Lonchura striata: one gene and its partners. The protein of the gene in region 1 interacts with the protein of each later gene in a biochemical or structural test. Links are inferred from orthologs where the notes say so. Each region holds a gene or a part of one and is shown in the gene's direction. Other genes may lie near its edges. The genes, in order: PEX5, PEX12, AGXT and PEX7.

The links.
Region 2: the proteins of PEX5 (region 1) and PEX12 form a complex in vitro, tested with the Homo sapiens proteins (2 studies listed by BioGRID). The link is inferred for Lonchura striata from reciprocal best matches to the Homo sapiens genes PEX5 and PEX12.
Region 3: the proteins of PEX5 (region 1) and AGXT are reported together in a solved structure, tested with the Homo sapiens proteins (2 studies listed by BioGRID and IntAct, with this or other methods). The link is inferred for Lonchura striata from reciprocal best matches to the Homo sapiens genes PEX5 and AGXT.
Region 4: the proteins of PEX5 (region 1) and PEX7 form a complex in vitro, tested with the Homo sapiens proteins (3 studies listed by BioGRID). The link is inferred for Lonchura striata from reciprocal best matches to the Homo sapiens genes PEX5 and PEX7.

What each region holds. Positions count from the first base shown.
Region 1 is NC_134604.1:29,894,222-29,901,957, forward strand, and holds the start of PEX5 (peroxisomal biogenesis factor 5), read left to right. Parts: upstream 1-4,728; 5' UTR 4,729-4,751; intron 4,752-4,961; exon of another isoform or gene 4,962-4,981; 5' UTR 4,982-5,034; coding exon 5,035-5,184; intron 5,185-5,594; coding exon 5,595-5,630; intron 5,631-5,822; coding exon 5,823-5,955; intron 5,956-6,639; coding exon 6,640-6,774; intron 6,775-7,736.
Region 2 is NC_134622.1:5,984,631-5,991,576, forward strand, and holds the start of PEX12 (peroxisome assembly protein 12), read left to right. Parts: upstream 1-3,940; 5' UTR 3,941-3,957; coding exon 3,958-4,083; intron 4,084-5,061; coding exon 5,062-5,606; intron 5,607-6,257; coding exon 6,258-6,657; 3' UTR 6,658-6,946. UniProt on the Homo sapiens protein: Component of a retrotranslocation channel required for peroxisome organization by mediating export of the PEX5 receptor from peroxisomes to the cytosol, thereby promoting PEX5 recycling.
Region 3 is NC_134612.1:4,677,536-4,684,764, forward strand, and holds the start of AGXT (alanine--glyoxylate aminotransferase), read left to right. Parts: upstream 1-4,228; 5' UTR 4,229-4,276; coding exon 4,277-4,441; intron 4,442-4,565; coding exon 4,566-4,758; intron 4,759-5,095; coding exon 5,096-5,160; intron 5,161-5,232; coding exon 5,233-5,333; intron 5,334-5,545; coding exon 5,546-5,616; intron 5,617-5,941; coding exon 5,942-6,026; intron 6,027-6,281; coding exon 6,282-6,377; intron 6,378-6,607; coding exon 6,608-6,677; intron 6,678-6,800; coding exon 6,801-6,896; intron 6,897-7,091; coding exon 7,092-7,220; intron 7,221-7,229. UniProt on the Homo sapiens protein: Peroxisomal aminotransferase that catalyzes the transamination of glyoxylate to glycine and contributes to the glyoxylate detoxification.
Region 4 is NC_134605.1:50,688,005-50,695,008, forward strand, and holds the start of PEX7 (peroxisomal biogenesis factor 7), read left to right. Parts: upstream 1-3,997; 5' UTR 3,998-4,014; coding exon 4,015-4,138; intron 4,139-5,416; coding exon 5,417-5,474; intron 5,475-6,963; coding exon 6,964-7,004. UniProt on the Homo sapiens protein: Receptor required for the peroxisomal import of proteins containing a C-terminal PTS2-type peroxisomal targeting signal. Specifically binds to cargo proteins containing a PTS2 peroxisomal targeting signal in the cytosol.

The sequences.
Region 1 (7,736 bases):
CCGCTCTGCCCCGGCTCCCGGCGGCGGCTGCTGCTGGACCCGCGGCCCGAATCCCGCCCCAGGGCGCCCTCCTGCCCCCGCCCGGCTCCCGGAGCTCTCACCCTCCGGCGAGCAGGTGGAGCAGCGTGCTGTGCTGCGACATGGCCCCGCCGCTGCCGCCCGGCCCCGGCCCCGGCGCGGCAGCCCCCGCCCGCCCGGAGGAGGCGCCCGGGCGGCGGCAGCGGGAGCGGCGGGCGGGGCGCTGCGAGGGGAGCCGGGGCTCCTCCGCGCGGAGGTACGCGTGAAAATTCACGCAGCTCCTTTGGCCCGGCCACTCAAGGCTCTTCCACTAAAAACAATGGAATCATTCCCTTCCCCAAGCCTCTAAACCGACCCCCCAAACTTAAACAAGCTCATCTTTGTTTTGCATGTAGGGGAGCCAAGGCAAACTGATTTTTTTGACCACGGGAAAGCGATGGGTCCAAGAGCAGAGCCAAGTGGTTCTTGATGTTCGTCCTCGCTCATGGGACCACAGATGCTTCTTCAGATGTTTGGGTTCATATGAAAACGGGCCAATGCTCTCCACAAAAAAACCCCAACCGTCTGAATAAATTAGACCCATGACTTCAAAGTTTGGAGGATCAGTGTGAGAAAGGGAATATTCAGGGGCAAAAGATCCTTTGTTGCTTTTTAAAATGCATAGTTTCAGAGCACATCAGAGTTCATTGAATGTCATCTTCCTTAAAAAAAGCAGAATGTACATCAACATGATGCTGTTGCCAAAAAGGCACATATCAGATCAGTTTATGTGTTTAGGATAGCCTGTAGGCCAGATGAAATGAGCTGTCAGAACAGCTCTATACTGCTGTGATTTCACTCACAGCACTGAGTGACACGGGACTGACTGAGTGTCCAGTTTGGGTACAATGCTGCTACAACAGAAACAAATGTAGGAAGTGAATTCACAGAGGAGAATAACTACCTTGGCCACTGAAGCAGAAGGATTGAAAAAAAATTGTAGCTTTTAGTCTGGAGGAGAAGGAATTAAGGGACACATGGCAACAGAGTCAAATTAAGTACAAAGATTCTTTGAAAAGGAAATTAGTACCTTATCTGCGGTGGAAAAGAGCAGAACTATCAGCTTATCAATAGTGCTTCTCACTACCTAGGCAATTAGGGGAAGACCAGTACAAAGACTGGCTTTCTGGTCAGTGAAATTGGAAACTAGTCAAAGATACCTAGAAGCTCCAAGCATTTTTCACTTGTCTTCACTGTGGTGGTGGCTAGGTGAATATCTTAAATAGCACCAGTTGCAAGTGGGGAAAAAAGTACTCTAGATTTCTAAGCACTTAGGCAAAGTCAAGGTTTTCAGACCAATTAGGGCTGATGAACTTCATGCTGTGATAATAACTGAAAAATTGGAGAATGGCCCACTGGCCATTATCTTTGAGATATCTTAGGCAATGGAGAAGTTCAGAAGACTGGAATAGGCCAAATATATTGGCCATTTTAAAAAAGGAAACCTGATTAATTACTGGCCTGCCAGCATCATTTTACTGTATTCCCTGTGATACAGGAACAAATAAATATGTAGACAATTCATGTTTTCATTTGCAGAGAAAAGAGATCAAGTTAAACCAATCTTTCATGGCAGAGTTGTCCTTGTGGTCAAGGAAGTAACAATAGATACTAATTTTTTTTATTTCAGTAGGATTTTTACTCTTTATTATCTGGCAGTCTAACAAGCACATTAGGAAACATGGGAAACCAGATCTACTGAAATCACTGTTGGGAGAGCCTGATGCTGATTGGAAAATTCTAAGATTAGTTTTTGATGTTATGCTGTCTATATGGAAAGAAGTATCAAGGAGTCCTTCAGAGATATGTTTTCAGTGTGCTATTAGTGTGGTTTTTTCCCCAGTAATTTATACAGTGGACCAGAAAATTGTGTCTATTAAAATCTGCAGACAACATTAACCTGAGAGGTCTTGCAAAGGATTTGGTAGAAAAAAATTCATATACAAATGATCTTGATCAATGGGAGAAATAGCCTGAAAGTGTAGATTTAATAAAAGCATGTAAGTTTTGTACTTGGAAAGAAATAATGAATTTCACAAAGTTAGCATGACGAATAGTTAGACAGAGACTTCCATTTTGTCACTGGTTTCCATCAGCACCTTTACCAGAGTATTGGTATTCAGAACAGCTGAAGGATGCAGAGCCTGGAATAGCCTTTTCAGGAGCTGTACTATTTGCCTCTCTCATCCCTCCAAGAGTTATTTGGCCCCCCTGATATTTTAGCTCTTGCTGCCAAATTATTTAAACTTCACTTGTAGAGGTGCATTGACTCTGTTTCTTTTCCTGTTGACTTTAGATCAGATCCTTTGATTTCTGCCTGCAAGCAGAAATAGCTGTGGCTTCAGCAGGATACTTATCCACCAACAACTATAGCTGTGGTTGTCCTGGATGCTTTGCCACCACAGCCACTTCTGGTCCTTCCAGTTGCATCAAAGTCTTTTGAGATTCTAAGGGATAAAGGGCCATACAGCCCTTCAGAAGGAAGGCTGTGGGGGCTTTCTGTAATAGAGCAGTGTTTCTCTGTCCCTGATCTGAACCAGCAGGCCAAGCTGGTGTCATGGGTATACCCCAAAAACTTGTTGCAAATATTACAAGTCAAAACTACTTCATCTCTTCCTCCCCACCAAGTCTGTGATGGCTTTTGGATTTCTGTCCATGCCTTAACTCAATGCCTACACTCCCCTTCTCCGTGTCTTTGTGTTATTTATTGGTCTATTGTACTATCTCTTCAAGTGTTCTTGCTAACCCTTGATCACACTGAGTATACATAGGATTTGGTATCTAGTAATAGCAGGTGAGTCTTATTTTAACCTTCCAGGATGCCACAAGTGTGCTTTCAAAATGAATCTTCCAGTGATCCCTGTTTGCTGGGCTGGGGTTTGTCCTGCAGGACAGCTTCGGTGTACAAACGAGATTCCTTTTTGGTGCTGCTGAGCTGCACATAGGGCACATCAACCACTAATTGGGGTGCTTCCATGAGACCAAAGAAGACATAGTCCAGACTAAAGCTCCCCAAGCATGTTTGGTGTGGATGTTGTATCTCCAGCCCAAATTCTTATAACTTTAAGAAGTATAGTCCTTGTTGAGCCATACATACTGCTTGTTAGTACAGAACTGGCTGTAGATGCTACATGAATTTCAAAGCTGTAAGGAGAGCAGGCAGGAAGACCTACTGCCAAAGAATTGTGTCTAAAACCACACCAGATGTCACATTTTGGACAGATGAAGCGAACCTGACAAATTTGGAGAGGACCCTGCAGAGGTGCATATTCCTTTGAAAAGAAGAAGATGGGATTTGATTCTGAAAATGATTTATTTCTAGGAACCTAATGTCACGGGAGTCAGCACACATTGTACAACCCCCTCTTGGCGCTTTTCCCATTCTTTTAGAGGCTACACACAAATGACCTTTGATTTTCCAGGTGGTTTGTCCTTTGGAACCACAAATGTAGAAGAATCAAGGCTGGAAAGGAGCTGACATTTCTATGCCTTGTCTGAAGGCGTCACATACTTTTCAGCTAAATGTTTGCATTCCCAACCTGTAGTTGCCAGCTGAAACATTTTAGCGACTCCAGAGCAGACAGTAAAATATCAATCCACCAGCTGGGCAAATATGTACTGATACAGTATATGCTCATCTATGCATATGTACCATATACACCTCGTTGAGTATATATATATATATATATATATATATGTACGTATATATTTATGTATATTCACAAATAAAACAAGATGGGTATGGTGCAAACATGTATATATCTTATATATATATATACACACATACATATACATATATATGAATGACTATATATATGACTATATATATATATGAATATATATAACATATATATAAGATACATATTAATATATATTACTATATATATATGAATATATATGAATATATACGAATATATATGAATATATATATGAATATCTATACACACACATATATATGAATATATATACATGTTTATGTATATTATGCAAATACAATAGGATGTGTATAGTACACACCATATACATAGGCACACCGTTTCACGGCCGGCAGAGGGGCACGCCGCTCGGGATGCGGCTCCGGAGTTGCGGGAGCAGTGCGCGGCGGGGGAGCCACCGGGGGCGCGGGTTCCGGCAGTGCGGTGCGGTGCGGTGCGGTGCGGTGCGGTGGCGGTGCGGTGCGGTGGCGGTGCGGTGGCGGTGGCGGTGGCGGTGCGGTGGCGGTGCGGTGGCGGTGCGGTGGCGGTGGCGGTGGCGGTGCGGTGGCGGTGCGGTGGCGGTGCGGTGGCGGTGCGGTGCGGTGGCGGTGGCGGTGCGGTGGCGGTGCGGTGGCGGTGCGGTGGCGGTGGCGGTGGCGGTGCGGTGGCGGTGGCGTGGCGGTGGCGGTGCGGTGCGGTGGCGGTGCGGTGGCGGTGCGGTGCGGTGGCGGTGCGGTACGGTGCGGTGGCGGTGCGGTGCGGTGGCGGTGGCGGTGGCGGTGGCGGTGCGGTGGCGGTGCGGTGGCGGTGGCGGTGCCGTGGCGGTGGCGGTGCGGTGCGGTGCGGTGGCGGTGCGGTGGCGGTGCGGTGGCGGTGCGGTGGCGGTGCGGTGCGGTGCGGTGGCCGCGGCGCTCGCCGCTCGGGGCGCCCGGCGCTGTGCCTTTAAGGCTGGCCCCGCCCCGCCGCGCCGCGCAGCCCAGCGCGCCGCGGCGGCCCCAGGTACGGAGCGGCGGGGGAGCCCCGCGGGCGGAGCGCGCCGGGCAGCGAGGGTCGGGGACAGCCGGGGCCGCGGGGCTGGGGGCCGCGGCCGCGCCGTCCTGGCGGGCGGGCAGGCGGGTGTCGTGCCGGGCCGGGCCGGGCCCGCGGGGAGGCGCGGGTGGCGGGCGGGCCGGGGTCAGGCGGGCGCTCGGCCCGGCGCTCAGCCGCCGTCCGTGCCGCCCCGCTGCCAGGTGCAGGCGCGGCGGGGCTCGGCCCGGCCCTCCCTCGCTCCGTGCGCGGCGCCATGGCCATGAGGGAGCTGGTGGAGCCGGAGTGCGGGGGCTCCAACCCCCTGATGAAGCTGGCGGGACACTTCACCCAGGACAAGGCCCTGCGGCAGGAAGGACTGCAGGGCTCCCTGGGCTGGCCCCCCGGGACGCCCGAAGCCGCAGCCGTGAGTATTGCTCTGCTCTGCTCTGCTCGCTCGCTGGGTCCTGCCGGGGCTGGGGTCGGCAGGGCAGGTGGCTCTCCGCGCAGCTGGTGTCGTGTTGTGCCTTTTTTCAGAAAAAGGCCCGCCACCCGAAGCGGGGTTGGGGGTGAGGGTGTGTTTGTGGGCATTCGGGGATGCTGGCGGCTGTGGAGAGCTGTGTGCCTTGCTGTCACAGGCCCTAAGCCAGACAGTAGTGGGAGGGGGTTGGACAGGATCCCTCAAAGTGTTCCTGCTACTTTAGCTAGTGCAAGAAAAATGTTGACAGGCTGAGCTCAAGGAAGAGGAAGATATGATCTAATTGGGTCACACTGTGTGTGTGTAAAGAGGGACATGGGATCAAAACTGTTGACACAATTGCCCACCATTCCCCGCAGGTATCCAAACCACTGGAAGTAGCCACCGAAGATGAGGTAAGGAGAGATTAATTCTTCTCCTTATAGCTTTTGATTAATCTTCTTAAAGCTTTTCACATCAACACTGTTTGTTATTTTACCCCTTACCTGATGCTAATATTTTCTTCTGACAAGCCCTTCTTTCACACTCCACGTCTCTGCCTGTTCATCTTCTGCGCAATGTTTGCAATCCATCTCTGTCTTTGGCAGCTGGTTGGAGAGTTTCTGCAAGCTCAGAATGCCCCTTTGCTGTCCCGTGCACCCCAGACCTTTAAGATGGATGACCTGTTGGCTGAGATGCAAGAGATTGAACAGTCAAGCTTCCGACAGGCCCCTCAGCGAGGTGAGGGGAGCTGAAGTAGGTGGAGACTGGAAAATGTCTTGATGTTTATGGTTAGGCTCCTAGCAGGGTGGTTCCTATCTATTAAGCTCTTCTGAGATTGTATGTGGAGTATTGTTTCTGGATTTGGGCTTCCCAGTATGCTGATGTGCTGGAATAAATTCATCATAGTGCAATAAAATATTCAAGGGACAGGAATCCATGTCATAAGAGGAAAGGCTGAGGGTCCTGGACATTTTAACCTGGGAAAGAGGAGCCTGAGGGGCAGCAGGTAGAATGTTTTGTTGCTGTCTTCAGCAGCCATGGTCAGGATCTTCACAGTAAGAGTCAGGAGAAATACAAGGAGTAATGGACACAATTTGTGGCAAGTGGAATTGACTAGGTGTGTGGAAACATTTCTTCCCTTGGAGGAAGCAGTTCACTACTGGAACAGGTATCTAGGGAGGCTGGGGAATTGCCAGCCATGGACAAATTCAGAAGTTACCTGATAAATGTTCTGTATGTATATATGTTAATCTGCTGTGAGAACTCTAGCAACCTCCAGAGACTCCTTCCAAGTGGAATATTTCTGTGAATTTATTCTAACAAAGAGAAAGATCAGAGGTGATTAGGGCTAGCCTGGAACACGTAAATGGTGCCTTTGAGTGCTCCAGGCCTCACTTCTAATTTTTTTTTTTCCTTATGTAGCTCCAGGTGTTGCAGCCCTGGCACTGTCTGAAAACTGGACCCAGGAATTCTTGGCTGCAGCAGATAATGCTGGTGATGTCTCTTCAGATTACAATGAGGCTGACTGGTCACAGGAGTTCATTGCTGAAGTGACAGGTGAAGTGTCCTTTTTTGGAATTACTGTCAAGATGACGTCCAGTCACATGCCTGTGTGTAGGGGAGAGCTACTGAATGTGAATTTAGAGTATTGCTTTGGGTCCAGCAGTCAGTGTTTCCTTTAGCAGCCTTAATGGGGTAGAGGGTAGGAAAGCTGCTTTGTGTTGGTGTTATGGTTAAGTCAAAATATGAGCAATGTGGTGTGGAAGCTTTTATTTAGGTGTAAGGGTCTTTTGTTGTTAGCTTAGACTACTTAGGGAATTTAGGAGAAGCATGCTATTTAAACTGCTTTTATAAAAACTATGATTTAACTGATGCAAGTTGGAGATGGCCTTGTACTGCTTCTTGCTTACATGTTTTCTAATTCCCTCTTGTAAGGTTAAATTGCCTTTGGTACAAAGGTAAATTGTCTCCAATGTGATTTGGCCAAATATTGTGTGTCAGCGGTATGAAGGTAGAGGGATGTTACAGCCTAGAAGTGTGCAAAGTGAGTGTTTCTAGCTCAAAGGTTAAGCTTTATTTGAAAAGCCATCCTGTGTTGTGTATGGAACTGGCTCTGGAATAGGGTCCTGTTACCATACATGCCCTAATCTGGAAATTATGGAAAAGAATCAAACATATGCTATTTTCCTCTCTAGGAGTGGCCACTGTAGAAAGCTGGATAGTTCCACTCTTTGACCTCCACTCTTTACATTTCTGGGAATATAAATTAGAAGTTACAAAGGTCTTAGAGAAAGTTCTGATGAAAACCTAGTGCTTTTAGGCTGTGCTTTTGACAGAGACTTCTAATGAATTGCTAATTTTCTTGACCTACATAGTATCCCATGGGGAGCAGATGAATACGTTGTGATATTAAAGTAGAAAATCATACATTTATCGTCACCACAGTGGCATCTGTATTAATTCACAGTCTGAATCAAAGGCTTGATTTTTAGGTCAGCATAAACAAAGGTAGAAGAAGC
Region 2 (6,946 bases), on another chromosome or scaffold:
TGCACCTGCTGCTGGTATTACTTGGCAAAGCTAGGGATTTAAAAGGCTTGGTAAAAACACAACACTGATGCTCAGCACAGCTTCCTAAATTCTCAGTCTCAGCAGGCAAAAGGCATTTTTTGAACTCCTTATAACCAGCAGATGCTGGTATGCTCTGCAGCTGTCCTTCCTGGGTACACAGATTCATTTTCCAAGGAAAAGCACACCCAGTGTCTTGCCTGGCAGTGAGAAGTCCACGTTTCAGACAAAGAAAACTGTCATCTCATCTCCCCCTAACGATATCTGCCTGTGCTTGCATCTGATGGAAGGCACAATTAACCCCACTTGCAACACCCACCCCCAGGCCTTTCATTCCTTTCCCTCCTTTTGTTCCCAGATGCAAAACAGTGGTTTTTTTTGAAAAGAGAAGCCATTACTTTTCAGTTCTCTCAGGCTTGAAATTGAAATATTTCTCTGCCAAGATCTGACATCCCACCTCTGAAACACACACACAAAGCTTGTTATTTCAGTGCTGCTTCTGCTTTGTTTTTTTTTTTTTTTCCTGTGGACAGGATGGAAAAATGCTGTTGGAGCAGCAAACACTCAGCAGAGCCATGAGAGTGGTCTCACCAGCACTTCTCTTGCCTTGGAATACAGGGATTGCCCAAGCAGGATTCATGTGGATATCCATCATTTTATTCTTACAAGTGTTAGCTCTGTGACAAATATGAGATAATTCTCAAAACAACCAGAGGAGTGACTACTTTTACTGCTTTTGATGAAAGTCTTTATCAATGCTAGCAACTATGACCCTAAAACCATCTCAAAAAGGATGTTATAATTTCTTTCCTCCTTTTTCTATCTTTCTGGCCCAAATTCCCCTTTTCTTACACATCCTTCCATGACCTTAAAGGCTGCCAGCAAAGCAGTAAATCATCTGTTCTCTAAATGCTGCCTTGTCTTGCCTCTAAACCCTGCAGGTCTTGCTGGCTCAGCAACAAAAGGACCAGCACAGCTTTGAACTCCAGGACTGCCCAGCAGCAAAGTCAGATTGTTCCTCCTTAACTCCTTCCTCCCTCATCCCTTCACCAACCCCAATGCCATCACCATTCCATTTTTCCCCATCCACCTGGACCAGCTGAACACCTCAGCAGTTGAATTCCAAGCAGCTGCCGACGGGCAATGCCCCAATTTCCACCCCTTTCTCCTGGGATCATCCTTTCCAATTGCCAAACATCTGCATGAGGATCAACCTGTTGCTTTTCCCAGTTTCCTGGAGCTGCTGCCTGCCCTGTGCCCACCTGGTTTCCACCTCATCCAATTAGGCTGAATTACTGGGTTTGGTTTGATTTCTCTCCCTTTCTGCTCCTGCCAAGCCTGGAGACAGCTCTGGAAACACATTCCTGGTGCAGAGGAGGTTTAACCTCCTTCCAAAACAGAGTTGGGAAAGCCATGTGAGCCACAATGAATGCAATTCTTCCAGCAAAAATCTAACAGCCCCCCCTGAAAGCAGAGGCTGCTGTGAAGCTTGTTTTGTAATTAAAATCAGAGCCTGTGCTCAGCTGCAATATTACTGCTGACAGAGTCCTTCAGGTTTGAGCTCAGCTTAAAAGGAAGACTTAAAATGTTTTTCTCTGTGAGAGTATTTGGCACAGTGCCATGCCCAAAGCACTGAACGTGGCCTTGATGTTTGCATTATGTGGGGATTTGTCATCCAGGGTCACATCTCAGCTGAGCTGCTCTAACACAGCTTTAACTGGGGCCAGAGCAGATTAGAGAGAAAATGGAGGGGAGGGAAAAAAAACCCAGCCCAAACACCATAAACATCAGCCCATTTGAATAAAGCCACACACAGAGAGGAAGGAACCCTGCTGGCTTTCAGAGATGGTTGTTAAACCTCAAGTGCAACATATTTTGCTGTTTTTCTCCTTTCATATACTTGGAAACATGAAGAATCCTAGAAACGCTCAGACAGGGCTAAGCACAGCTCATGCCTTTCCAACCTTCTTTCATGGATCTAAATGAGAGCTTAGGTCAACAACCAGCCTGCCCTATTCCAGGTGCAGCAGAGGGTAAAGCTCCTTTTCTCACAAGCACACAGATTGCTGCTTCATGTGTGTCAGAGCTTGCTTTGCACACTGTTCAGAGACAGCCTGCCAGCAGCACTGGCTATTATCTCATCACTAACAATCTCAGCATTCTTTACAGCAAATGGAACCAGATATTTAAAACACTGCTGTTTGTGTCACTGCAGAAAATGCCAGCTCCTTGTACGCAAATCTAAACCCAGGAGAGCTAAGGTAAATTAGAACATCAAGAACAGCCTTGTATTTTCAGAAGAAAAATCTACTTTAGACTGCCCCTCCTCACTATTGTTCTATGCCCAGCACTTGCTGAGATGGAAACAGGTAAGAGGTGTTCAAAGCTGACAGCAAAAGGCTCCTCCTGATCCAACCCCAGCAAAGGAGAAGAGATGAGAATGAGGAATGGCTCCAGAAAGCTCCAGCAATGCTTAATGCTACAAACAGTGGCTTGATATTTCAGTGTAGGCTGAACCAAAGCAAGATAAGCCTCCTCAGCCCCAACCCACACAGAAAACCTGACCCTGTGTCTGACCAACACCTGCTTGACCCCACACATGACCCCAGGCAGCCTCACCCGCTCCCCAGCACTGACCCCACACAGGAGGGTGACAGGTTTAAGGGTCTTGGATTAAGGCAAGCTCCTGGACACTGAAACCATCAATCCCTAAATCTCTCAACTGATCCCTGGTTTAATTCCAGTGTAAGTGGTGCCACCCATTTTTCCTGGAAAGCCTCTCAAGGAGCTGTGTGACAGCCCAAGTGTGGCCCAGGGCCACTGGAGAACCAGGAAGATAAACACAACAATGGAACATGGATGGCAGAGGAAGAGCTGCTCTGCAGCCCTGAACTTGTGCTGGCACAAGGATTTTGTTCCCATTCTGGAGACGCAACACCCCCTTGGTGGTCCCCATTCCACCTGTTCCTCCTACCACCTACCACCATTCCTTGGAAGCCCCATCCCAGCTTTGCTGCCAGCCCCTCCCACACCTCCAGCAGGACTCCCAGCACCCACCCACACTCCAGACTGGCATCCCCCTAAGCCCCCTGCCCACCAGACCTTCCCCAGATCTCTCCCAGGATCCCCCAGCTGCAGGCACATTCCCCACAAATCCCAGTTTCCCTCCCAGCATTGCCTGCCAGTCCCTCTTAGTACCCAGCCCTTATCCCTAACTGCTCCCACTGCTACCCCAGTACCTTGCTGTGCTCATTCCCATCCCAGTCCATCCTCCAGCACCCCCACCTCACCCCAGGACCCACTGACCCCACTCCTCACCCCTCCACCTCCTCTGCAACCACCTGCCCACTCCTCCCATCCTCTTCCAGTCCACCTCCAGAACCACTCCCAGTGCCTGACCAGCGACTCTCCCCACGCCACTCCAGTTCCCCCTCCCAGGAGCACTCACCCCCTCCCAGTACCCCCCTGGTGCCCCTTCCCACCCCACCCCAGGTGTCCCTCCCAGTACCCTTCATCTCTCCCAGTATCCCCTTCCCACCTATACCAGTGCCCCCCAGTATCCCCTCCCATCGTCCCTAAGCAGCATCCCTCTCTCCCCGCCCCACCCCAGTACCTCACAGCTTCTCCCCCACCCACCCCTCCCCACCCTATGGCAGCACCCCACCGCCGCCCTCCCCTCTCCCAGATCCCCTCCCAGCACCCGCTCAGCCCCTCCTCATTCCCCACCAGCGCCCCTCCCCGCCGCCCGGCCGCCGCTCCCAGCGCCCTCAGCCCCGGCCCCCTCACGGACCGCACTCACCGCTGCGGGGGCGGCGGCGGCGGAACCGGAAGCGGCGGGGCCGGGCGGGCTCGCGACGGCCCCGCCACCATAGAGCGGCGGCGGCGCGCGGCGCGCGCTTCCGGGAGAGCCCCCTGGCGGCGGGGCGGCGGGCCGGCGGCATGGCGGAGCTGGGCGCGCACCTCACGGCCGCCCCGGCCGGCGAGGAGCGGCCGTCCGTGTTCGAGGCGGTGGCCCAGGACAGCCTGATGGCCGCCGTGAAACCCGCCCTGCAGCACCTGGTCAAGGTGAGGGCGAGGCGGGCCGCGGGTGAAGGGAGAGGAGGGGGGGCTGGCGTGTGACTCCGGCCGCGCTCAGGGGCAGCGGGACGCTTGGGAGCCACCTGAATTGTGGTTGTTATGTGTAATAAATATAATTTGCGCCATTCCTTGTATGAAATATGTAATATTGAATACTTGTTAAATCATGCCCGTCGTATTAGTTCGCCCCGCACCCTTGCAGGCGAGACTGGGTGTATATTGGAAACTGATTTATAAGTAAAAAGATGTGGCTCGGCCAGGAGCTGGGCCATGGCTGGGCTCCAGGTGTTGATCATCGGTGCTGATCGTCCAAGATGGATATGGAAATCCTCAGACAGATCCATGTGAATGCAGCCTTCCCGTAAACTCTCATCAAGAATTCAACTACTCCGGACATTGAATTATTTCTCCTCATCACCAAAAAAAGAAAATCTTATTAACCTATAGACTCTGAATAGAAGAAAAGACTAACTGCTGGAATCTTGGCCTCAGGCGGAATTTTCCCTATAAAAACCGCTTGTACCAGGATGGAGGTGTGGGCATAGGAGAAAACCTCTGCTGAGGCTGACTCCTTGTTGCACACCCAGGGTCGATCCCGGGCTCGGCTCTGTCCTTTCTGTGTGGCTGGCTAGATAGAATTTGACCGCAAATAAAATTATTTTTATTTTTAATCTGGCTGAATAAATTCTCGTTTATAACATGGTGAGAATGAGAGGCATCGTTTATAGCTGCTCTGATTTATAATTTAGCGCTTTACTCTGCTTTTTACATCCTTCCCTTCCTCAGGCACAGGCTGCCCAGAGAAGCTGTGGCTGCCCCATCCCTGGGATGTTCAAATCCAGATTGGACGGGCCTTGGAGCAGTCAGGGATAGCAGAAGGTGTCGGGCTGGAACCGCATGATCTATAATGCTCCTTCCAGCCCAGACCACTCTGATTCCTCCTGTTTTGTGTCCCTTTTCCAACAGGTGCTTGCTGAGTCTAATCCTGCCCGGTATGGGTTCCTCTGGCACTGGTTTGATGAGATCTATGTCCTTCTGGATTTGCTGCTCCAGCAGCACTCCCTGGCCAGGTGCAGTGCATCCTTCTCTGAGAACTTCTACAGCATGAAGAGGATCCCAATGGGAGATGGCAGACAGCGACCTCTGGCCACAGCTGGCCTGCCAAAGAGGCAGCACTGGAAGTCTCTGCTCCTGCTGGTTCTTGTTCCTTATCTGAAAGGGAAGCTGGAGAAACTGGTGTCCAGCCTGAGGGAGGAGGATGAGTACTCCATCCACCCTCCCTCCTCATCCTGGAAGCGCTTCTACAGAGCCTTTCTAGCTGCCTACCCCTATGTAAACATGACCTGGGAGGGCTGGTTTCTTATCCAGCAGCTCTGCTACATCCTGGGCAAGGCTGAGCATCATTCCCCCATGCTAAAGCTGGCTGGTGTCCGCCTGGTCAGGCTGACTGCAGAGGATATCCAGGCCCTGGAGAAGAAATGGGCTGAAACCACCTCAAGTCAAACACACAGGTATGGCAGAACCTGGCTCAGGTGTTGCTCTCCAGGGGGTTCTGTGGGCATGTAAATTTAGAGATGATGCTGCAAGTACAAGTGCCTTGTTCTCCAAAAATTCAAGATGAAAGTTTGCTCTTGACAAAATGTGCTCCAAAAGGATGTATTGTGAGTGAAAATAAGTAAACCAGTAGCAGGGATTAGCTTTAAACTATTTTGTGGTAATATTTCAGAATTTGGGGGCGTTTTTGGGCATGGAAGCCTTTATTCTGTTCAGTCTTCCCCTGCACTTTTCCAGCAAAGGAGGTGCAACAGTTGCAGCAATGTTGCTGAAAGGATTGAAACTTCTTTCTTTGATTTTCCTAAGCAGCAGTTAGTCATGGGCACACTCAATACCCTGTGATGCAGGAGTGAAACACTCTGTGGTCCAGGATCCTTTAATCCAAATTCTTCTGATTTAGACTTCTCAAAAAAGCAGCATTTGGATATTCCTTAAAATAAAAAAAGTATCTGAAACATCCTAGTAAGTGCAAATAGGGGGACGCATTGACCAACTAACTTAGCGTTAAGGAGCTGTGTGAAGCAGTCACTCCCCAGGTGCTTTTCCCATGGTTTCTAGATGGATAAATGTGCAGTAGTAACCACCTCTCCTGCTTCTCTCTGCTCCAGCTTTATCTCACGAGTGCAGTTGGCCCTGAGGAAAGCTCTGGCTGGCATTGCCTTCTCCCTGTCCACCGGCCTGTCCGTCAGCGTGTTCTTCCTCCAGTTCCTGGACTGGTGGTACTCCTCAGAAAACCAGGAGACCATCAAGTCCCTGACAGCGCTGCCCACGCCCCCACCGCCCGTGCACCTGGAGCAGGAGCCCGGCTCTGCTCTCCTGCCCAGCCTGAGGACCGTGTGCCCCCTGTGCCGCAAGGTCCGCGTGAACGCCACGGCCCTGGCCACCTCCGGCTTCGTGTTCTGCTACCGCTGCGCCCACGGCTACGTGAAGGCTCACCAGCGCTGCCCGGTCACGGGCTATGCCACAGAGCTGCAGCACCTGGTCAAACTCTACTCCCCTGAGAGCTGAAGGGCTGCCAGGAGTCTCCAGCACCTCTTTGTGCATCCCTTGGAAGGCTTCAGAGCACCGCAGCTCCTCGGTGAGCTCTGCAGCGCCCTTGGACTCGGTGGTTGGTCAGCTTTGCTGCCTTTGCACACCCTGGCAATGCTCTGCCCTTTGCTGATAAGCTGTTCAAACATCCTGGCAGTTGCAGAGGGATCATACAGCCCCTGCCTGTCAGCCAGCACTGAAGTGCCATAAAAGACCAGCTGAAAGGGAGGAAACATTGATCCTCACATCTACATTCCTCTTATCCAAA
Region 3 (7,229 bases), on another chromosome or scaffold:
CCAGCACCAAAGCCCGGCTCCCTGTTCCCTCCCTGCCCCCCACAGGGCTGCCCTGCTCACAAGGGAGGCTGCAAGGAGGAACAGCCAAGTCCCTGGGGCCAGGGGGAACATCTGACCTGCCCCCAGTTCTGCAGGGCATCTCTTCCCCCACTTCCCTGCTGGCTCTGCCCATCCCTGTGACACGCCAGTCACCCCCAGTGAGGAGCAAAAGGCCTGGAGAGCCATGATTAACTGGATCAGCTAAGATTAATTGGGCAGAGATTAGCTAATGAAACCGCTCTTAAGTCCAGGGGCTACCAACTGGCAGCCTCTCCTGCTGAGAGGTGACCAACAGGAGAGAGCATTGTCCCCAGGTGCCACCAACCAGCAAGCTCTTCCCCAAAGGAGGCTAAGGAACGTGCTGTGCTGCTGGTCCCCCAGCTCCAGCAGATGAGGAGCTGCCTGCACCCAGGGAAATCCAAGGTGAGTTTCCCTTTGTCTGCACACATCCAGCCCCACGAGGGTGGACGCCCCGGTGCAGTGAGGGTTTGGCTGCACCGGTGCATTCTCAGCAGCTGCCAGCCTTTGTTGTGGTGAGCCCTTCCCCTGCACCCTTTGTTGGGGCCCCCCAGCTCTGAGTGGGACCACGAGACTCTGTCCTGCCTCTAGGGCAGCAGGGAACACGTTGCTGGATGACATGGCACCATCAGTGCCTGCCAGCCAAGCTCCTCACCCACCTCCCGCCCCACACAGGACAAGGGGCCATGACGGTGCAGTTTTCTCCAGAGCAGCACCTGCAGGCAGGGAAGCAGCTCAAAGGACAGCCCAGGACAAGGGCAAATGCCCCCCACTCTCAGAGGAAAGCCAGCCCCTGCTTCCCCAGTGCCACCACAGGCACCCTGCCCCGTGCCTCCTGACCTCCTGCCCACCCCAGCAGGGGACACAAGCCCAAGGCAGAGTTTGCACCTCCCTGAGAATTTCCATGTGGATTCAGTTTACAAGTAGAAAATACAAGGACATGGGTGAGGGGTTCTGCTTCCCATCTCTGCTGCAAAGTAACCCCACCCCCCATCCCTGCTCCCTCCATCCTCTCTTCCAGACACGCCAACCCAAAGCAGGGAAAAGATGCACAAAAAAGGCAGTGAGCTCCGGTGGATGCCCAGCATTGGTGGGCATGGAGAAGGGTAGCCAGGGAGGGGGCAGCAAACAGATCCTCACACGACCCAGGGCTTGAGGGGCTGCAGCTCTTGCCACATGCAGGGAGGTGGAGGGTGGTGGCAGCATCTTCGCCAGCGCCAGCTGCCACCTCCCAGACAAAATGGAGGTCAGCAGCAGCATGCCGAGATGGTAGAGCCACCACACCCCTGGCCATCCCCAGGGGAGGGGGAGGGTCTGCTACCTCCCTGCCCCCCAGTGCCACAGAGGCCACCTGCGTGGGGCTGCTCTGGGCGCTGGGACAGAAGGGTGCCCGGCTGTGGGCTGGTACGGGAGATGCTCGGCTGGTCCCTTGTCCTCCCCGAGCCCTGATGCTGTCGCATGGGACCTGAGCAGGCAGGAGCCCGGCTCACACGGGGTCTGCGGGATCTAGGGGAGGGGTCCCTGCCCCGTGAGGGGGAGGAGGAGGAGGGGGAGGGGGAGAAGGAAGCAGAGGAGTAAGACAATAGGGCAGGTGCAGGGCTGCTCCGTGCGAGCCTCGTGACCAAGCATGAGCTCTGCACTAGCCCGGCACCCCGGGACCTGCCCCTTCAACAGCGAGCAGCCGCTGCACCGGCCCGCAGTGACATGGCGGCCCTTGTCCAGCCACTCCACGGTGCAAGGTCACCGTCAGCTGCTCGTCCTTGGGGGCCAAGAGCAGCCTTAGCATCGCAGCATCCTTGCCAGCTAGCCGCGGCGAGAGCCCCAGGTGGGGCATCCACCACTCCCTCCAGCGCTGCTGTCTAAGTCTGAAGCATTATGATGGTGATGACGCAAGATGGCTCAGCAGCATCACCACAGCCATCTGCCCTGGAGGGAAGAGCAGGGGTGGCTCTGGGGTGACAAGGGGTCCCCCGCCATGGGCTGCGGGGATAGCATCCTTCCCCTTCGCACCCTGGCTGGGGCCGGGGCGGCAGAGGCGTCTCCCGGTCCGCAGGCACCCCCCGCCGCACCCCGGCTGGATCCTTCTGGAAGATGGGGCGGCACCCGGCGGTCACCGCGCTGGGGACCCGAGGGCAGCTTCCCCACACCCACAACTTCCAGCATCGGGGGGCTCCGCGAAATGGCCACCGGCCGCAGCCCCCCCGCCCCGCCGGACCCTCGGGGATGCGCATCCCGCTCCCGCCCGCCACGCCTCGTCCCCGCCGGGGCCACGAGGGGCGGCTCCGCCACCCCGGAGCGGCGCCGGTTCCCCCGCGGCCAGCGCCCCGGGGGGCGCGGCGGGGCTGCCCCGGGCTGCGCGATGCCGCCCGCTCCTACCTGTGATGCCCGCGGCCGTGGCCGCGGCCGGTTCGGAGGGGCGCGGCGCTCAGCCGTGGGCGGGGGGCGCCGGCATGAGGCCGAGCCGCGCGGTGCGATGCGGTGCCGGTGCCGGTGCCGGTGCCGGTGCGGGTGCCGGTGCCGGTGCCGGTGCCGGTGCCGGTGCCGGTGCCGGTGCCGGTGCCGGTGCCGGCGCCGGTGCGGGTGGCAGCGGCCCCGCCCCTGCGGTCCCCGCCCCACGCGCTGGTTGGCGGCCGCCGCCGCCCGGAGGGGGACGCGGGGACCGGGAGCGCGCGCTCGGGGATGGAGCGGTGACGTCAGCGCATCCCCCGGCCCCGGCCGCGCTGCGGAGCCGCCGCAGGGGCGGGGCGGGGCGGGGCGGGACGGGGCGGGCTCGGCAGATGTCGCCTGGCAACCGGCACCGGCCCGGTGGTACCCCGGTGCCCCGGTACCCGGTCCGGACACCGCTCCCCCTGTTTTCCGGCGCAGTGTTCCGAGGAGCGGCGCTGGGCAGCGCTTCCCGTGCCCCGGTCCCGAGCCCCCGCCCGCCGCCCGGGGCACGGCCGCTCCTGCCCGTCTGCGCCCGGAATCCAGAGCCTGCGCGGAAAGCGGATTATTCCTTCGCTGCCAGCTGTTTCCAGCAGCACGGCCACCCTCGCCCCACGGCAGCCGCGAAGCCACGCGTCCCCTCCCCGCCCCAGCCATGCCCCAAATCTCCCTAGAGGACAGGGAGATCTTCTTCATCCGATATGTCGTCATCGCTTTGGTGGGATGATGGCTGGGCAGCAGTCCCTATGCTGACTGTGGCTTCCATCGGCCATGCGGGATCAAACTCATCTGCCCCCAGCTCCTCTCAGTGGTGCAGATGTGCTCTCACCTGGCACTGTTGCTGGCCCCGTGCCTCTGTCTGGTATGTCTTCAGCAGCGGCCACTGGTGCCAGTTCTGCCGGGTGGGAATTCTCATCCCTGTGCTCACCCCTGTTCTCATCCCTAGCCAAAGCTTTGCTCACTGAGGGGCTCCTTTGAGCAGAGACCCACTCATGGATCTGCTAAAGCTGGCAGCAGGCAGCTTATTTGCATTTCAGGGTGTGGATGGCAGAGAATGTGGCTGAAGTGAGGCGCAGGGCAATGTGCTGTGGGTACACACAGCAGGTAACAGAATATCGACCCCACGTGGGGCCTGTGGCACCCTCAGGACACATTGGGATGCTCATGGTCCAGCTGTGCCTGCAAGAGCGCAGCTCGCTGTGGCAACGACTGTGTCCATGTTCCAGTCCACAGCCCTGGTGCACATCAGTCCAGTGGCCAGCCTCCTTCAGGCTGTCACCCTGCCAGATGTCACTCTCCAGGGCAGGTCCCTGGTCGGGGCACCCTGGTCAACAGGAACTTTTTGCTGCAGGAGGAGCTACGACCATGGCAGCTGTGCCAGACCAGTCTCTCTGCACAGCCATCCTGTGGCACAGGATCTAGGTGCCCAGAGCAAGGATCCCACCTGCTGGGACACTGTTGGGAATCATCAGCCCTCGTATTGTGGGGGGCCACGGGGACAAGGACTGCCACAGTGCTTGGGAGTCCCAGAGGCTGGCATACCTGAAGGGAGCATCCCCCAAAATGAGGGGCCCAAGACAGGGATAGCAGAGATGACACATTAACCAGGCAGAGGAGGCAGCCAGGGGTAGAGTCCAGACTGGTAGGGGGGAGCACTGAATACTGGGTCAAGGTCCGTGGGGACGCTGGACACTGCTGGCACAGGATAGACTGTGCTGCAATGCTGGCAGCTGCTCAGGCAGCCTCCTCTACTCCTCCTCTTTGGGCTCAGCTCCTGGGGACAGCACGGCGTGCCATGGCCACCGGACTGCTCCGCGTTGCCCCTCCGGAGGAGCTGCTGCGGCCCCTGGCCGTGCCCGAGAGGCTGCTGCTCGGGCCAGGGCCCAGCAACGTGCCCCGCCGCATCCGGGCTGCGGGCGCTCGCCAGCTCCTGGGCCACATGCACCCTGAGGTGTTGCAGGTGAGCTGCCCCAGCCCAGCCTTCCTTCCCTCCCCTCCTCTTCCTCACCCCCAGGAAGGGCTGGAACAGCTCTGCTGGGGCAAGAGGAGCAATAGCAGTGCTGGCCAGTGTCCTGCTGCCGCAGGTGATGGATGAGATCAAGGCGGGCATCCAGTACGCCTTCCAGACGCAGAACAGGCTGACCCTGGCCATCAGCGGCAGCGGCCACTGTGCCATGGAGGCCGCCCTCGTCAACCTGCTCGAGCAAGGTGACACCGTGCTGGTGGCCATCAACGGCATCTGGGGACAGCGTGCTGCTGATATTGCCAGGAGGCTGGGTATGCTGGGAACAGGCAGGTGGTGTGGCAGGCCTCAGGGGACTGGGCTTGAAGGCAGGGTGCCCTGGTTTGCTGTCCCAATGCTGGCAGTGCTCAGTGACATGGCTTGCAAAGCCAGAGAGCACTCTGCCAGAGAGCACTCCAGGTTTTTCCAAGAATGATGCCACTCCATTTATGGTGCTTTATGGCTTTTCCACTGGGCAAATCTGCAGGAGGCCAGACTCCGGCAGGTGGCTCTGCTCCTGGTTCATGCATGATCAATTGCCCCATGGAGCAGATGAGTGCCCAGTGGGAAGCATGCCCAAACCTCACTCTCCTCTGCCCAAATTCCTTCCAGGAGCCAATGTCTATGAGCTGCTGAAGCCCCCAGGCAAGTACTTCACGCCACAGGACATTGAGCAGGTGAGCGCTGGCCACTATGCAGAGGGCACAAGCTGACCTCCAGTGTGGTCACTTTCCCCCTGTGTCATGCAGGGCCTGCTGCAGCACAAACCTTTGGTGCTCTTCATCACCCACGGCGAGTCCTCCACAGGGGTGCTGCAGCCACTGGAGGGGCTGGGCGAGCTGTGCCACCGGTCAGTGCCCGATGGCCACCCCAAGGTCACCACCGGGGATTTGGGCCTGGGGGTTTATATGTGCTGAGCTCTTCTCTGGCTCCGTTGTGCTGGAAGCAGTTGGTGCCAGTGAGACACACAGTTCCTGTGGGGACCAGGATGCCAGGGCTGCAGCCAGAGATGTGGCAAGAAGAGGTGGCAGGGACACCAGGCTGAGCTCTGTCCTTCCACAGGTATGGCTGCCTGCTGCTTGTGGACGCAGTGGCATCGCTTGGGGGAGCCCCCATCTTCATGGACCAGCAGGGTAAGAGCCACAGTGCCACCATGAAGAACCAGGGGACAAAGGGGTTCATGCCTGGGACAGGGGCAGGGAGCAGTGGGATCAGGCCCTCGGCCTGCATTTTGGCTAGCAGCACTAGAAACTTGTCCAGATGCATCCAGAGAGCCTGTTCCCCTTGGGGCACCATCAGCAGTGCCAGGGCCCTCCCAAAGCAGCCTGAAACAAGTGGGACCTGCCATGTGTGCCATCCTTGTGCTTCCCACCCACCACTTGCAGCTAGGTCAGCGGGCTCAGCATTTTCCTGCTGGGAGCCTCTGATTCCTAAGGAGCTGTCTTCCCTCTTGGGCAGAGATCGATGTCCTGTACTCGGGGTCCCAGAAAGTCCTCAACACACCCCCTGGCAGTGCCCCCATCTCATTCAGTGAGCGAGCCAGGTAAGAGCAGCCCAGTCTCAGCAGGGTGGATGTGGCTGGGGGAGGTTGTCACCTCTCTCCTTTGCTAGCCACCTGCTTCTGTCCTGCTCTGCAGTGCTATGGGGGCACAGCCCATCCCATCCCTGGGCAGTGATTGGGAGCTGGAGCCAATCTCTGCATTCACTGTAGGGGAGTTCCTGCCTCCCACAGGGCTGATCCCACCTTGGAGCTGGTGGGGTCTAGGTCCCACCTCTCCCCGGTACTCTGTTTCGCCAGGGAGAAGCTGCTGAGGAGGAAGACGAAGCCCCCATCCTTCTATCTGGACGTGGGCTGCTTGGCAAACTACTGGGGCTGTGACGGGGAGCCGAGGAGGTGAGGGCGGTCTCCCTCGTTACAGACGGCTGCGAGCACTCCCCACCCAGCCTCTGTCCTGGCTCGGGGGCTGCCCGCCCTCCCCCTGCCTCCCCATCACCCTGGCTGCTCGTCACACCCTCTGCACTGGGTGGTGAGGAGGGGGGATGCCGTGCCTCAGTTTCCCCTCAGTTTCCCTCAGGGGCTGCCGTGCTGCAGCCAAGCTGAACGCCCCTGGGTGCCCCTTGCAGGTACCACCACACGGCGCCCATCAACAGCTTCTTCAGCTTGCGGGAAGGCTTGGCCCTGCTGGCAGAAGTGGTGAGTGGCACCAGGCAGGCAGGGGAGCACCAGCAGTGCCCGTGGGGCTCGGAGGAGCCGTGGGTGCCAGGAGATGCCTGCCAGCAGCAGAGACCTTCTCTTCTCTCTCCTCTCTGCCCACAGGGTCTGGAGAGCTCCTGGGAGCGACACCGGGCCAACTGCACCCAGCTGTGCCAGGGGCTGCTCGACATGGGGCTTGAGCTCTTTGTGGAGGAGGAGGTGGGTGCAGGGCAAGCCCACCAGCAGCACCACAGAGTGGGGGCAGCGTGAGGGCACAGCCCTGTGCAGCTGGAGATGTGCCTGGGCAGCTTTTGATGCCAGAGAAAAATCTCCCCGCTCCGTGATGCTCTCTCCTGGCACGGCGCTGGGGTCACCAGGGGCCGTGGGACTGAAACCAGTTTCTCTCTTCCTCAGAGGGCCAGACTTCCCACCATCACCACCGTCAGGGTGCCCGAGGGTTACAACTGGGAGGACATCACGGCCTTTCTGATGGACAACCACGGCATGGAGATCGCTGGGGGCCTGGGCCCCACGGTGGGCAAGGTGGGCAGA
Region 4 (7,004 bases), on another chromosome or scaffold:
GACTAAGTATATCACTATAGACAATGAGAAGTAACTTCTAAGTTCAGCAGGGAGAAGGCAGTATTTTGAGGCAGGCAGCTGCCAGTCTTTAAGAAAAGGTACACTTATAGTCACACTGAACATCTAAAACAATATTTAAGTGCGGGCAGAAGGTAAATAGAGACTGGTGGCCATTGTGTAGGGATGCAGCTGATCATGGAATAGGAATAACATGGGGAATCTGCTTACCAAATTACAGCATGGTGCATATGGGAGGCAGCCAGCAAAACCTGACCGAACAATGTGGATACATCATCAGGGATGGATATTTCACCAGTCAGGATCTTCCTTGTAGCCCTTTTCTTGTGAGAATGGTGAAGATTGTGTGCTGTTCTTGCTTCATACTCTTTCCTCATAATTCTCACATTTCTTTCTAAATCTCCATGTCTAAATCTTCATTTGCTCCAGTGTCTTTCCCTCCTCTTGCTTCTTTTATTCTTTTGAACTTCCAGAAAACCTCCATGCTAACTGCCTCTTCCTTCCAAATGCCATAACCCTCAGTTTAGACATATAAGGGGAGTCTTTTCCCTTTGCATTCCTTACTGCAATCCCATTGGTTGTTTTTATTTATTTATTTTCAATGTTGCCAGTTCTTCAATCTTAAATGAACCTTGGGATTCTAAATGCTTTTTCTAAAGCTGCAACACATTCAGCTTTATGATGATATGAAGATTTCAACTGGAAACATCTCTATGCTTCTATCGGTCAATAAGCATTCACTTGTGGAAGAAAATCTTGATGGCATGGAGCCTAGGGAATGGTTCAATAGTTTAAAAGACAGACAAAAATTAACTGCTCTCCTTGAATATTTTCAGTGTTTTAAGCTACCTGCCCTTGCACATGAGGAAATAGCTCACATTCTACCTTCTCTGGTAGAAAAGCTCTTCTTATAAGTTGTTCAAACTCTTGGACTCGAGCCCTTCTGATTACTGTTCCTGATGACCATCAAGGGTTTTGGAAGGATTTGTGCACACAGCAATGATGGTTGCCAGCTCAGCTCACACCTAAACTGGCTGTCAGCTAGCAAGCTGAGGAAATGAGAGACGTGTTTGTAACAGAGCAGAGCTCTTGGGTCTGAAAGGGTGGAGATACTGCAGTAAGGATCCCAAACACTTACTCTAATGCTAACGAGGAGGGTACTTCTGCGAGCAGAGCATAGAGAAGTGACAGCTGCATAAAGCTAGCTGAAAACTGCATACTACGCAACTTTCCCGTTTTTAATTGGAATTATATTGTGTTTTGAATTTCAGTGTAGTTGGGGATTTTTTTCCTTCAACTGAGGACTCTTTTTTTTTTTTTTGCGTGGAACATGGCTGCCATCTACTGCTGCATGCAGGATCCGTCTGTTTGGAAGAATCTGGCTGGATTCTCCCTCTGGGCTGGTGAGGCCACACCTCAGGTCTTGTGTCCAGTTCGGGGCCCCCTCAGTTCACGACAGACCTTGAGGTGCTGGAGCAAGTCCGGAGAAGGACAACAAAGGTGGTGAAGGCTCTGAAACACAAGTCTGATGAGGAGCAACTGAAGGAGCTGGGGGTGTTCACCATGGAGATGAGGAGGCTCAGGGATGACCATATCGACTTCTACAGCGCCTTGAAAGGAGGGTGTAGGCAGGTAGGGGTCAGGCTCTCCTCCCCTTCAACTTTTGACAGGACGGGAGGAAATGGCCTCAAACTGAGTCCAGGAGGTTTAGGCCAGATATTAGGAAGGATTTCTTCACAGAAAGGGTGATCAAACATTGGAATATGCTGCCAGTGGAGGTGGTGGCATCACTGTCCCTGGAGGTAGGTAAGAAAAGCCTGGATGCGGCACTGAGTGCCATGGTCAAGTCGACATGGTGGTGCTCAGGCATAGGTTGCGCTCAGTGATCTCAGAAGTCTTTTCCAATTTAATTAATTCTGTGATTCTGTGATTTGGTGTTAGCTGAAAGGAGTTGGCTGGTAGATCATTTGGTTTCAGTAGCTGCATGTAAAATGCTGCTATGATTGGTGGTCCTTCATATTTCTTGAATTTACTCAGCTGCTCAGAGGCTGAGGAGGAAATAGAGTCGTGTTTAGCAACTTCGTTTGTTGGGACCTACTCTCTTTGCCTGTAAAATAGCTTTTGTTTCTTTTGTCGTTATTCTAGCTTGAAACCATCCTGTTCAAATACTTTCACTGACCATACTATTTTGCTTTCTACTTCCTGGATCTTCAAAACCAGAATTCACAAGTTTATCTGTGAAAAAAATGTTTGAGAACTAGTCCTTCTCTCTGGACTTCCTTGTAACCTTTTATCCACTTCTTGATATTTATGTCTATGAAAATTCTTTTAATTGTGTCTTTAAAATAAAGCTGGGCCACTGATAAGAACTGGTTCCTGCTTGTATAACCTCTTTCGAGAATTTCACTCATTACGAAAGATCTACCAGCTTGGAAAAAATGCACTTGATGAAACTGTTCCAATTCAGTGATAAATTGTCTATAGAGTAACGGCACTTTACACCATTAAGCATCTGACTCCCTGACACCTTGTAAATGGCAATGTCCAAATTTGCTTACTGTACCCCTGTGGTGGCCTTGTGTCTTTTCAAGAATTGCTACTGACATTCCAGTCACAAAGGGCAATTAATTTAAAAACACTTGATCAGAAAACTGTCCTGTAACTTGCATTTTTAAAAGAAAAATTGATGTAAGAAGATTCCACAGAAGCTAAAATTGGTTGAATTTGGCCCGGAGCAGCCAATTCTGTAAGGTATTCCTTTGCCTCAGGGTTAAAAAAATCTGATCTCACATGATGTCAATAAATGCAGCCTGTAAATTGCCAGTTATGAGGCTTTGAGAACTGCTGTAGTAATCCAAAGGATACATTAAATTTAGCTTCACTTGCACTGAACTGATTTTATTCTAAAATCCTGGAGGCTATTTAATAAATATACTTGTTTTCATTTTTATTACAAGATTGAAGAATTAGTACAACCGCCTAATTCTGCATATGAGTGCCAGTTTAAGCAAATGAATATTTTTGTGGCTTTACAATAGACTTTGTAGTAAAGGTTTAGTTTTAAATATAAGGCTAGGTAGCGGGGCTACATAACTGTGGTCCAAGTTAATGAGGTATCTGTGATTAAATAATCTAATTTACCTTTGCTGTAATTTCTGAAAGTGTAAAATGATACTTTTGCATTTTAGTTTTAAATATAAGGCTAGGTAGCGGGACTACATAACTATGGTCCAAGTTCATGAGGTATCTGTGATTAAATAATCTAATTTACCTTTGCTGTAATTTCTGAAAGTGTAAAATGATACTTTTGCATTTTTATCTTTAAACAAGATGGGTCATTGTGACTAATTAGGGTGCTGTGTGTCCAACGGGAATAATCTCAGTGTCTGTATTTTAAGGGACATAGATACAGATATATACATAGGATGTAGTATGGCAAAAGCTGCAGCTGCTGCTCTGCTACTAATTTTCTAAGCTTGCTAATCACCTGCCCACCTCTTCCTTTCAAAGGCAAAATTCCCAGTGACTTAAACAGAAGTTGTCACGGGTGTTAAGAAGTTTATTCATAAAAAGACTTCCATAAAACCCAATTGCATACTGAGAAGAATGATAAAATATGCAGATCTATTAAAGAAATTAGGAGAATGAAAAGCTTAGAAGGTGTTTTTTAAAAGGAAAAATGAAAGCTAACGCACATCCTTATGACTGAAACATCTCATGCATTCGAGCTGGTGCACACACACCGAGCCGGCCTATGTCCTGCGTGGCGAATAAAAGCGCGGATCGTTTCTGGCTTTGGCGGGAAGGCCGTTCCGAGCCCGGCGCTCCCCGCCCGCCGCGCGGGCCGCCCCTGCCATGGCCAAAGATGGCGGTGGCTGCGCCGCGGCCCCGGCACCGCCCGGCGGGCGGGCGCTTCCGCCGGGGCCGGGGCGCGGCGGCTGCTCCGCGGCTCCTCCGCGGCTCCTCCGCGGCTCGGCGGAGGCCCGGGCGGGGGCCATGGGCACGGCGGCGGGCGCGGGCGCCCTGCGGCTGCCCGGGCTGCACGGGTACGCGGTGGAGTTCTCGCCATACTGCCCGGGGCGCGTGGCCTGCGCCGCCGCGCAGTACTACGGCATGGCAGGTGCGGGGGGCGGCGCGGCGGGGGTGACCGGGAGCCCGGCTGAGGAGGAGGCTGGAAACGCGGGTGTGCGGAAGGACAGACGGTGTCTGTCAAATGCCAAAGCGTCTGGGGACGACTTCCCTTTCCGCTGCGTTTGCTTTGCCCTGAGACGGAGCCTGTGCCGGGGGTGCCGCGGGAGCTGCTCCTTGCCCTCCGCAGCCCGCCGGCATCGCCTCTTCCCAACCCGCTGCTGCCCTGGTGCTTCTCGCAGCGCACCCGCTCACTTGATAGGGTCGACAGTAAATGTAAAGGCGTACACAGTGAATAAAATGTCCGAAGATAACTTTCTCCGGTGACAGAACTGGAGGGAATAGCCTGAAGTTGTGTCAGGGGAGGTTTAGGTTGGATACCAGGAAAAGGTTCTCCATCCCGAGGGCGGTTGGGCGCTGGAACAGGCTCCCCAGGGAGGTGGTCACAGCACCAAGTCGGACAGAAGCGCAGGTGTTTGGAGGATGCTCTCGGACGTGACTCTTTGGGATGGTGCTGTGCAGGGCCGGGAGCTGGACTCGGCCCTGATGGTCCTTTCCAGCTCAGCTATCTCTGTGTTTCTGTGCCTTCAGCTGTTTTTGTCTTAGTCCCCGAGTGTCCAGGCAGGCCCTAGTGACCCTGTGGTCTCTTGAAAGAGCCAAGCTGAGCGTCTTTCAGTACTGGCATATTTTTCATTTCCGGTGATACTCCAAAATATTAATTTTTTAAAAAATCCAAGTGTAGAATTACTTTAACAATATCCTCATCAGATGAGGAAGCAGAACTGATGTGCATTTTATCAGAATTTAATTGTTTATTTAGTTTATGGTGAGCTGTGTTTGTATTACTGTATTCAGGAAGGGATGAAAAAAGTGTTTGGTCTGCTGTGTTATCAAAAAGACAAAAGCAACTCTGTGTTGGTATGTCTGTCATGTGAGGCCATGGGGAAAATGCACTTTTATGCTTTATAAGCAAGTCTTTTCCAACCTCACCTACAGATATACTGCAGTAAAAAACACAAACAGAACAAACAAACAAAAAACCACAAGAAAATCCCAACAAAAGAAGCACCAAAACCCCCAAAATCAAACCAGAACAATGTGATGTAAATTAATTTTAAAGACAAGATGTTTAATTATGCAAGTAATTGTTAGGCCTCTTAAAGTTCATGTGCCCTTTGTTTTTGCACGCTGAAGCTACTTCAGAACTACCCCAGTTTCCTTTGGCATTGGGGAACTAGTTGTGATGTTTTGTTTCATTTTGCTGGTTTAGGTTGTGGAACTCTGGCAGTGCTGGAACAAAACGAAGCTGGGATTGTTCTGCTCAGGAGGTAATACAGGCTTATCTTTAATTTTCTAAGATAAAAACTCTGTACTTGTGAATACCAGGCATAACTGAAATACTTTTGGTTATTGTTAGCAATACAAAGTATTTTTTAAATTCTGAAGTAACTACTGAATGCAGGTCTTTGTATTTACATAGAAATGAATGTATTTGTATTTACATACAATACAAAAGTTATGTTTACATTGCATCGAATTTGTTATGGGAAATCATCTGGCTAGCACCATTGCATCATTTCCATGGTGTAAACTATTTTGTAGAAAACTGACAATGTACATTAAGAGGAGCTTCTCTGCCCTAGCTTGAAATTATAAGTTCTAGCTTTTTAGGAATAGTGCCTTGACACCTAGATGTATGCCCTTATGATTGATTTATACTGAAAATAGAGCAGGAAGGTACATCAAGTCGTGGAGGTCCTTCCTAGGAGATACAATTTTCTAGGGGTTTTAGGGAGATTGATTTTGTTGTGGATGGAAGGAGGAGAGAGGTTAGAAAGGAAGGAGTTTAATACTTGTTCATTATTAACCTAAATTTTTTTAAGGAAAGTCTTGAAACAATGATTGTTTAGATTAAGGTGGTTGACATGAAAATGCTTAAAAATAGTTAATCATATTCTGAGAAACCTTTTTTGATTCATAATTATAAAATAAGACTCTTTGAAGATGTTCAACACTCTGTTACTTCTGTTAAGTACTCTGGTTTAGTACAGTTCATTTCTGTTTTCAGTGACTCCACTTATTTTGTGGTAGAAGGTCCTCTTCAGTTCCTGACCCCACAGACTGTATTGTTTATCAAAGTGTTCCATGTGCACCTGATCATTACTGCAGAGTGCCATCAAATTTGACCTAAGCTTAGCTAAACCTTCAGTGAAAAGGAGATAAAGAAATCAGTTTTTCCCATCAGATAATATTGCAGTAATTAGTAGCTGTCGCAAAATAACTAATAAAAGGCATCAGATACCATATTGTGAATTGTTGGTGTGTTGAAAGCATTTTCAAGGGGGTGTAGAGTTCTTCAGTAAATTCATTGTTATATTTCTGTTGTGTTTTCATTGTGACTGAGATTCAGAGTGGTGTGAATTGGATAAGGCCCTCCCAACACAGCTTTATTTCTTTCTTTACCACAGTTGTTAGAAACAAAGTGCTCTTATATTCTGGAGAAACCATAGATCAGACTGAGGCGTGTTGTACCTCTTTGCATGGCAAGTTCTAGACTGGAATAAGAGTTCCTTCTTCATGTGTGGAAGGTCCTTGGCTCATTTATGCTTTAACTTAATCTATTCTGGCATAACGTTGTAGAAATTGACATTCAAACAAGTAAATTAATAGTGAGGAGATTCACTTGAAACTCAAATATATAAAAATGCTGTTTAGAATGGTAAAAAGGGTGATATAAATAGTTTCTTTGCATGGAACTAGCTCAGACTTTTATGTCATGTTTTCTCACAGACAAATATCTTCATTTTTCCAATTTAGCTTTGACTGGAATGATGGACTGTTTGATGTGACCTGGAGTG